Linked DNA regions of Drosophila melanogaster. The protein of the gene in region 1 purifies or fractionates together with the protein of each later gene. This does not show direct contact. Each region holds a gene or a part of one and is shown on either strand. Other genes may lie near its edges.

Region 1 (5,190 bases):
ATATAAGCTTTCCCTAATGATAGTACTTGATTACTTGGTAATCGTTATTAAATGGTTTGAATTCCTTAAATAAAACATTGCCCTTTACTCCCTTTTAGAGCATTAAAATTTCGGTTAATCGAATTCTCAACTTCCTTTCCTGTTGCGACTTGAATTTTCGTTTTATTCTGTTTCTGTAGTTATTTTTTGGTTGAGCTTGAGAAAATAAAAATTGATTCTAGAACCTGTTTTTTGGGTTTGCTCGGGGTCTGGTCTTCTCTCTGCTGGCTGCTTTGTGCTGGCCTTTTGAAATATCTTTGGCTTTGTACTTGTTTCGTTGCTGCTGCTGCTGCTGCTGTTTTAGGCGTTTCTTCGGCTGTTGAATCTCGTTTGGGTCTTTTGTCCGAGCAGCCAAACAAAATAAAAAAAAAAGGGAGTAGGAAAGCAAAGCATTTCTGTCGGAGATCCCAGACTCGGAGCCAAACTCCGACCGGGATTGGGGCTTTCGTTTTCGTTTGTTCGCCCCATCCATTTAATAAGGCACATATTTTGTATAATTTATACCATTATTTTTCGTATCTTCTTCTTCATTCGAAAGTTTATCAAAAGCGAAAAGTAAAATTTCTAAGCTTTGATTTGATATATTAACTTGCAGCTTTGTCTTTTTATATAATAATCTTGAATCTCAACTGCGACGAATGTGTTTTTTTTTCAAAGACCTTGGGAATATTATAAATTAACGTTTAGAAAAAATGATGATCGGCAGCTTAAGTAGAAACAATAATAATGCACAAACAATGCGCAAATTGTTGCTTGCTAACACAATCACTTAAAGGTATAAGATATGTTTGCAAAAGCTGAAAACTGTATATTCAGGTACTAGATTCAGTTACTATACTCAGGTAACATCCATTGTGGAAAGACGCTGCAATTGTGAAGATTTTCGCATGCCATTCAAAATGCAAATGAATGGATGTGGGAACCGCATGAATCACTACTACATTTTCGCCCAAATATGATAAATAGGTTTAGGATTTGCAAATTCTATGGAAGCTCAACGGTTATCATTGTTTATTTTTGCTTCGAATTTCATTTAGAATTCAAGGCTACGAATTCGAAAATGCGATCATAGCAATCACGATCACTTTTGGCCTTCACAATCAGCTGTTTGCTGTGAGAAATACAAATGATTTATTGAACTCGAGCTCTTTGGGAAAGCGCATAGTTAGCTTTGGCTAATTAATAACATTTTTTATAGGGAAATTCTGGATAAAAGTGTTCTGTTTTAATTGTCACGATCAGTCTTATTCGCACCAAAGTTTGGGGGTTCAATACGTTCCAGGAATTGCTGAAACAATTGCCTACTTATTCATTTCGTGGAAATCTCCCGTAGAATAGATTTAAATAACAATTTGAAACTAAATATTCTTATTATGCCGAATTCCACAATCTCTAGGCCAATTCTCAATAACTGGTTGTATTTCTGACATACTCATTGATCTTGCACAGATCTTTCTATCCGCGAAATGTGTCAAAAATCGTCGGGCTGTGGCCGCGATAAATGCAAAACCCGATCGCTAAATACCGATTTAATCGAATTAGCATAGCTAGTGACAAGCGCAGAACGCCGAAGATTGGATCTTAATCGTGGCAAGTGCCATAGAAAAACCCACAAAAGAGGAGGGGGAAAAAAACTATGAAAAAACCAGAAATACACGCGACAAAAATGCACAACCAGCAAATCAGAAGAAGTAAACCGGTGAATTAGTGCAACAACAACCAGCGACTCGAAACTAAAATAAAAGCAAAGTCTAAACAAAAACAGAGAAAAAGACTAGAAAAAATAACCATTAAAGAAACCTGCTTTGAGGCATTGCTGGAATACCAGAGTTGTCACTTGGGGATTGGGGATTTCGGGGCTTTTTCAGGTGAATTGCAGGTGGGGAGTGTCTGCTGTCGTAAATAAGAAGAAGAAGTGGGAGTAAAACCTGCCAAACTTAACAGCGATTTATGAATAGCGTTAGAAAGAGAGGCCGCCAAGTGATAGGCGACAAGAAAGAGACAAAATCGCATGCATGTCGCATTTGCAAACGCAACGGCCTTATGCAATGCGCCCAAAAGAGATGGTGCGAGAGCGTGCGAGTGAGAGGGGGCAATATAAATCAAAACAATTATTATGTAAGGCGGTGCGACGGTTAGTGCAGCCAAAAGCAGTTAACAGGGCAACACATTTAGCGGTACGCAATAAAAGCCCATTTTAATTTGGCTTATTTAGTTTATTGATTCAGCTTTAATGCAGAGAGCAAAAAGTTATTGTTAGCGGGTGTACTATTTCAAATGCAAATAATCCCCTTATCAGTATCTTTAAGATATACTTGTACATATAGCTATGGACTTAATTGGGATTCAGTTTAAAAAATATTGACTTGTTCCATCAAATCCTTGTTGTTTCATCAATTGAAATTTAAACTGAAAATCCGATTATAACAATTTTCTAAGTGTAATCGTTAAGGCCGATTGCAGCTTCTCTTCCCTCTCGCTCCCGCAGCCAAATCGTCCTCTCTTTCCCACCCCAAAGCGCTTTGCGTGTGTAAATTGTTTATTTAATTTCAGTTATTGAAAATACAGTTTTTATGGCTTTCAATTGCGATGACCAGCAAATGAAATGGACTTTTATTAACTTGGTTAAATCATGGCAAGTGATTCAATGCGATTTTATAATTATTTTTGCACATTTATGTTTAGCACGTTGTTTTGTTACGTTTGTCCGTAGTAATTCCAATGGATCAATTGATATTCTGCTCGCATTTCGCTCAAGTTCAGTGGCTCTAAAACTGTCTCAAGGCTGCAAATTTCATTTTTCGACTTACCGCTTAAACAAACAAGTAGAAACGATTCCCTTTCAAATGTTGCTGTTGATTTTCAGTTTTCTGTTTTTGTTGCAGTTATTATTGTTGCACTCTCTACTCTTTTCCGTATGCAAACGCTGTCACATACACACACATAAACACGTCGTCGTTCTTGTTGTTGTTGTTACAAGGCCTTACTATTTTTAATGAAATGAAGGAGTTGCCGAACAGCTAAACGAAACGAAAGCGAACAGCACACGAAAAAGTCACACAAAACAATCGGCTAAAATAACTGTTGACAGGCGAAAGAGGCGCAGAGAGAGGGCTACTCGCGTTGTTTTTGCTGCTGTTGCTGCTGCCTTCCTGATATTATTTCTACGTATGTAATATTATCTCACACGCTGAAGATCCGTTGAAACGTTGTTAACGCTTTCGCGGGCAAATCGTAACTGATTTCGGTTGCTGAAGCGTCCGCGGCAGGTGAGAGCCGAAGTAAGCCCCGATCGTTATGTGTGTTGTGTTGCATACTTTTGGGCCAGCGTGGTGGAAAAGAGAGTAGAAAAGTCCGCAGATCACTGTGGTGAGTTTCACGGGAGTTCGAGGGCGAGAGATTTTTCGGCTTCAATGGTAAATCTGAAAACTAAAAGAAACTACTTTTTGAATGTTCTGAAATGTTTATGTTTTAAGCAGTGCAACCAATACGCTTAACGCAATTTATTAGCTATTATTTATTTAACTCCACGAAATTACACCACTTTATGGCCTATCGTATGATGACTTTGTTTCAAAGCTCTTTATTTCCGTAAAACCCATCACTTTGTTGTCTTCACTTTTGGGCCCTTTTAATCCCATTGTGTCCTCTTATCAGCAGTGTCCAACGATGTTTCCAAGCCACTGCATTACCTGTATGGAAATCAATCAGAGGGATGAACGAGAAGGCACTGGGTGCAATTCCAATTGGTTTTGTCGTCCGTTGCAAGAAAGAAGCCAGTTCTAAACGAAATGTATGAAGTGTAATGGAACATTGGTAAATACCATGCAATGAGAATCGCTGTTATTGAGTGATATTAGGTCCTTGAGCTGACGCTTATGGATATGTGGTCAACTGTACTTCTGGCCCTGCTTTGACAGCTGACAACTGTCATTTTCGGCCTGGCGCACCTGACGTGTGCTCATAGAATTTATTTAATTTCCGCCTGGGCATTCAAGTAAATTGACTTTCATCGCCCCTTGGCACACTCTTTTCACTCCACGTGTGGGAGACAAACAAAAGCCGTGTGCTAATGCAAATTTGGGCAGATCTTTGGATAAACATCGCAATGGAATAGTCAAAGTTCCAGCGGCACATTCCACTACAAACAAAATTGGGGATGATTGATGGTGGTATTTTTAACATTTAACATTTTAGAACATTTATGAAAAAAATTTACGTATATATTTAAAAAAATAACCATTTTTATAGTTCAGAATCCTGTTCTAAAGATGGTTTTTAAACACAAGATGAATTATTTTCAGTGTCATGCTCGCGTTTTTGGGTACTCCGCGGCGACATTTCGCTGCTCTACTCGGTTGCCCTTATCGTTTTAATTAGTTTTTGAAAAAGTTGGACCAACAAACTCTTGGAACGGCAAGGGCGGCCAGTCGTGCAGATAGAACTAGTGCTGGCAATTATGAAATTGCAAATAAGTTCCCACTTAGCGAGCAGGGCAATTGCATTTAAAGCGCAACGCCTTTACATTTAATTAAGGCCGAACGATGGGCGCCACCTGCTCTGTTTGCCGATTCACCTGTTTATCTCTAGAGGTTGGTGGGTGGCACTTTCTTAGCTCCCTGCCGATTTGCATGAATATTTATAGCGAATGGCGCTTTAAATGCAACTCCCTGGGAAAACGTCGCCGGATTAGGCAACAAATTTATATGCACAAAAAACGAAATCAACAAAAACAAAGAATTGAAAAAGAAGATGCAAATGCAGAGCTGCGAAGGCTGAGATTTTGCCAAAAACTTTTGGGGAACCTGCAATAAAAAAGTTTTCTTTAATCCTACAGGGGTTTTCGTAATAAATGATTTAAATTGCATTTCCAATGAGGTTGAAAACCTAATGAAAGAGGACACCTCGGATTTAAGCGAAATTCTATAAAAATTATAAAAATCAAATCCTGGTACAAAAATTCACCACCACATCAAAATAAATTGTCCCCAAACAGAAAACTCAAATGAACTTTCAAAACTCAAACCGTGCAAAAATCGTTCAATCTTCTTAAGCAACCGAACAGGCGGCCAGAAAAACCCAGAAAGCCAACGGAACCGATTCAATTTAACTTTCGAACGAAACACGCACACTGCTGTACAAATAAAAATA
Region 2 (4,921 bases), 7.0 Mb from region 1:
TGTCAGCTATGTGCTGGTCAGACTGATTAGTAACTTAAAACCGTGTGTGATTGAAAGTGTGCTGCCTATAATTACCGCAAGAAACCGATAGCGAGGGCTTACGGAGGAAGCCAAGTACAATAACAAACACAACGAGCGAAGTATGCCTCCGACAGAGGAGCTAAGTGATAAGCGGCATTTGGCAATGCTGATAAAATAAGTAAACTAATTGTGGGTCCGCTTTTGAAGGACAGTGCCTGGGATGCAGAAACAGAGGAGGGGAGGGGTGCGGGTGCCAGGAACGGACGGAGCACGGACGGCTTGCTGTAGAACGACTTACCAACCCTCTGATAGAGCGAGCGCCGCTTCACTTGGCGTTTAAGCTTCTATATCAATTATTTCCAAGTAACCACATACAAATGATAAGAACAAACATTGCGACATTTTGGCGGAACAAAACAGAACGTAACATAAACGCAAGGCAAAGAATAGTCGAGAAGAAACGAAGATAAACATATAAAATAATGTATCGCGCGGTGCGATTTGGTTGGGTTTTCAGGCGGCAGCGTGTAAGAGAGAAGAAAGAGCAGTTGGAGAGGTGAGAGAACGTAGAAATTATCATCACATCTAGCAGTTGGACTACAAGGGTGCGGTGCTGGGCACAGGGATCCATGGGCTTCCAAGGCGCACTCACCTCGGTCTCATCATCCACCACCTCTTCCACGACCTCGGCCTTGTACTCAAGCAGCAGATCCTTGATAGGCTTGGCATCCAGATTTCTGTTGATGAAAGCGTGCTGCATCAGCACATCCGTCGTGGGCCTCACCTGCGGATCCTGTTCAGAAGGAATACAAAAGTAAAGTTAGAATGGAATGTAAATAACAGATTTTAGGGTTACCCACTTTGACTAAGGACTTCTTCAGGAAGTCGTTAAACTCCTTGCTCCATCGAGAAGGCTGCTCCAGCTTGGGCGGCTCGCTCTTTTGTATTTTCAAGAGCACTCGCATGGGCGACATCTCGCTGTTGGGCGGCTCCATCTGCGCCAGCTCAATGAGCGTGATGCCCAGTGACCAGATGTCCACTTTGTGATCGTACGGGTTGTCCCGGAAAGTTTCGCAAAGCACCAGCTCCGGGGCCATCCAGTAGGGAGTGCCAATGAAGGTGTCGTGCTTTTGCATGGTGTGCTTGTTTTTGGCCGAAACGCCAAAGTCCGCTGAAATGAGTTGATTTCACTTTGAGATCGTCTCGGCTTAGGAAAAGGGCACCGATAACTTACCCAACTTGACGCCACCTTCCATTGTGAGAAGCACGTTTCCTGCCTTCAAATCACGATGGATGACTTTGTTGCGATGCAGGAAGGTGAGACCCTCGGTCATGTGCTTGCAAACATAGGCAATCTGCGGCTCAGTCAGCGGCTTTTCCAGCTCCACCATAATGCTATCCAGGGCCCCTCCGTCGCAGTACTCGATGAGCATCTGAGAGGAATTTCAAGGAATGATTCATAATCCCGATAAAACTTGAAGTACATCGATATACTCACCCACAGCTTATCATCGATGGAAAAGGCCTCATACAGCTCCACTATATTTGGGTGCTTGATCTCCGACAGAATGTCGATCTCGACCATGTGATCGCTAAGGTTCTCCTCGTCCTCCAGCTGACACATTTTTGCGGCAGCAAATCGCTTCTGCTCCTTGTGCTGAGCCTTGTAAACCTTGCCAAAGGCTCCGTCGCCCAGTTCGCCGACCATTTCCCAGAACTCCGCCGGATCCGTGTCCATCTTGATGTTGTTGTACAGGCGCTTCTTCTTGGCCTCACCCCCGCCGAGGTGGAAGACCTTCTTCAGGTTGGTGATAAACGACATGTTGGCTCTCTTGTAGATTTCCCCTGCTTCTGCTGACGATGATGATTTCTTGGGTTGAGTCTACATAGTGAGCTCCTGGGCGAGAGTCCAAGCAGGAAAACTAGATTTGGTGAAAGCTGCGGACATTGGCAAGCGTTTATTGATTGAACGGGCAGGTGTATATCACAGACTTGGCAGGGTTTCAAGTCTAGCTCTAAGTTTCAATCTGAATCTCATTCTGAATCGGAATCCGGGGTGGAACTGCCCCGTTCTAGAACGCAGACCATAGCCCAGATATCGTGGCCTAAACTCACCTTCTTTGCAGCACTCTCTCCTCGGTTCCTTCTCTTTTTTTGTTCAGCGAAATAGGCCAAAAAGCGGGGATTGTGGGCTTGGTTGGCCCGTCTTTAGCGCTTCTGTGTTCTGTATGTTTTATAATTTAATTAGCAGCTAGCGAGCTCTAATATTTGTAGAAAAAACACGTACGAATGGGAGGGAAATGATTACAAACGAGAAAAAGTCAAAGACGTAGACAAAAGAGCGTGCGTGTGTGTGTGTGCGTGTGTCTCTGCTTGCGAGTATTTGTGAGCTGGTCTCTGGGCTTTTAAGCCCCTCTCCCCCTTCAAGACGGACACCCGAACACCTATTTACGCCGAAATTGCAGCGAAACCCGGGATTTACGGATGCCAAAGCTGACTAATTCGTAGAGGCGCCTTCAATTCGCACTGCTCAGCTCGTAATTCGTGAAATTTGTAAACAACACGCGCACTTTTAACTAAATTCAACATCCCATTGATGATTACGGAGCAAGTATAGCGGCGAATGGGCGTGAAACTTGAGGACGCACGCAAACGGAATGGGGTATTACCTCATTCGTACACAGTCACTTTCACGGTTTTCGGCTTTATCTATCACTGCACTATCGCTATTTTGACTGTTTTTGCCGCACACTAAGCCATTTGAAGCGTATTTTACCCCGAAAATGCTTGGAAATTTCTCTCGCGCAAACGCTTCGTGTTGCCACTGAGCTGCAATTGCACCCTGTTTGGCGATCTGGCAGCGCCGGCGAAAAATGGCCGTTTAGGTCATCTGTGCCAGAAGAGAGCAGCACTATTTGCCTTCGCCAAGGGCAAAAACAGAAACAACACACACTTATGCAAACACACACGCAGAGGGGGAAATAATAAGTTAAGTCGGCTGCTGCTTAGTTACTTTGCTTTACAGCTGGTTTTCGGCAGGTGCAGCCTCAGCAAACGTTCTTTTCCGCACTTCCGCTGTCCGATTGCGCACTTTCTAACTGTTTGCACGGCGCTTTTCCTCTCATGATTTTTCCACCAGCATTGTGTGGCCGTTCAACAAAACTCCAAAAATACCAAGGATGGGTGATTTTATACACCAGCAATCCGGTCCTCCTATACCCTTCCCTTTATAACATATAGAACTATTAGGTTTTCTTAACAGCTGTAGAAAATCGATATCAATTCACTACTTTCCAGAACACGACAACTTTATTGTTCTAAAATGTAAGTGTAGGAAAATAATGAATATGTTATATTTAATATGCTGTATTCCGAGTCCGAGTGTGACCAGTTAATCATTTTTAGAAAAGCATGCTTTTGCTTGCCTTGAAATAAATTCAGAAAGCGAGGCGTCGGCCACACTGTAAATCGTTTCTGCTTGTCATTTTGGCCTGAGTTTTTTGCCGCAAATTGCAGGTAATTTAGCGAAAAACAGGAGTCGCAGGAAGCCAAACCCGTCGAAAACAAATCAGTCCGGTACCTATCAATCGGCGCAGAGGTCATAGTAAGCCCCCGAACCGAAAACCCAGAAAAAGCACAAACATGCCGTCGCAGGAGGTGAGCGTAAACAAAGTGATAGTGCATCCATTGGTTCTGCTGTCCGTGGTGGATCACTTCAACCGGATGGGAAAGATTGGCAACCAGAAGCGCGTAGTGGGAGTCCTTCTGGGCTGCTGGCGATCCAAGGGAGTGCTCGATGTGTCCAACAGCTTCGCAGGTTAGTACTGCCTTTGAATATCCAAAGTCGTGGCCATAAAACAAAAGAATTCCCTCCCGACTTCCAGTGCCCTTCGACGAGGATGACAAGGACAAGTCGGTGTGGTTCCTGGACCACGACTACCTGGAGAATATGTACGGCATGTTCAAAAAGGTGAACGCCAGGGAACGGGTTGTGGGATGGTATCACACAGGTCCCAAGCTCCACCAAAACGACATAGCCATCAACGAGCTGGTCCGGCGCTATTGTCCCAACTCCGTGCTGGTCATCATCGACGCCAAGCCCAAGGATTTGGGCCTGCCCACAGAGGCGTACATATCGGTGGAGGAAGTCCATGACGACGGCTCTCCGACCAGCAAAACTTTCGAGCATGTGCCCAGCGAGATTGGCGCCGAGGAGGCGGAGGAGGTGGGCGTGGAGCATCTGCTGCGTGACATCAAGGACACAACCGTGGGCAGCCTGTCGCAAAAGATCACCAACCAGCTCATGGGTCTGAAAGGCCTGAATGCCCAGCTGCGGGACATAAAGCAGTATCTGCAGCGCGTCGGCGACAGCAAGATGCCAATCAACCACCAGATTGTCTACCAGCTGCAGGACATCTTCAACCTGCTGCCCGATATAACCAATGACCAGTTCACGGGCACAATGTATGTGAAGACCAACGACCAAATGCTAGTCGTCTACCTGGCCTCCATGGTGCGCTCGATCATTGCCCTGCACAACCTGATCAACAACAAGCTGGCCAACCGCGACGCCGAGGAGGGCAAGAGCGACAGCAAGGAGGCCAAGGAGAAGAATAAGGATAGCAAGGATAAGGACAACAAGGAGACCAAGGACAAGGACGGCAAGAAGGCGGAGGAGAAGGCCGACAAGGGCAAGGACGAAGGCGGCAAGGGTTCGCGCAAATAGGAGCGGAAGAAAAAGCGCAAACCCCGTCGCAAACGAAAGAAGCAGCGGGCGCAGGACTAGCTGCTGCTTCTTCTGTTCTCCAGGAAGTGGAACTCATCTGCAGACCATACGGCGAGGGTGTGCAGTGGCCTCAGAAATCAAGCATTGCTACCATTCATCGTTCATTTTCCACAC

Evidence for each region.
Region 2: the proteins of CG10939 (region 1) and Slik purify together in Drosophila melanogaster (affinity purification with western blotting, with the first as the bait; one study listed by BioGRID). This does not show direct contact.

Annotation. Positions count from the first base shown.
Region 1 is NT_033778.4:17,392,686-17,397,875, reverse strand, and holds the start of CG10939 (uncharacterized protein), read right to left. Parts: upstream 3,284-5,190; 5' UTR 2,850-3,283; intron 1-2,849.
Region 2 is NT_033778.4:24,399,527-24,404,447, forward strand, and holds the start of Slik (Sterile20-like kinase), read right to left. Parts: upstream 3,155-4,921; 5' UTR 3,035-3,154; intron 2,859-3,034; exon of another isoform or gene 2,309-2,858; intron 2,283-2,308; 5' UTR 2,137-2,282; intron 1,960-2,136; 5' UTR 1,844-1,959; coding exon 1,520-1,843; intron 1,455-1,519; coding exon 1,256-1,454; intron 1,193-1,255; coding exon 882-1,192; intron 815-881; coding exon 674-814; intron 578-673; exon of another isoform or gene 502-577; intron 366-501; coding exon of another isoform or gene 324-365; intron 1-323. Other genes in the region: Rpn8 (regulatory particle non-ATPase 8), read left to right, coding at 3,664-3,838, 3,906-4,747.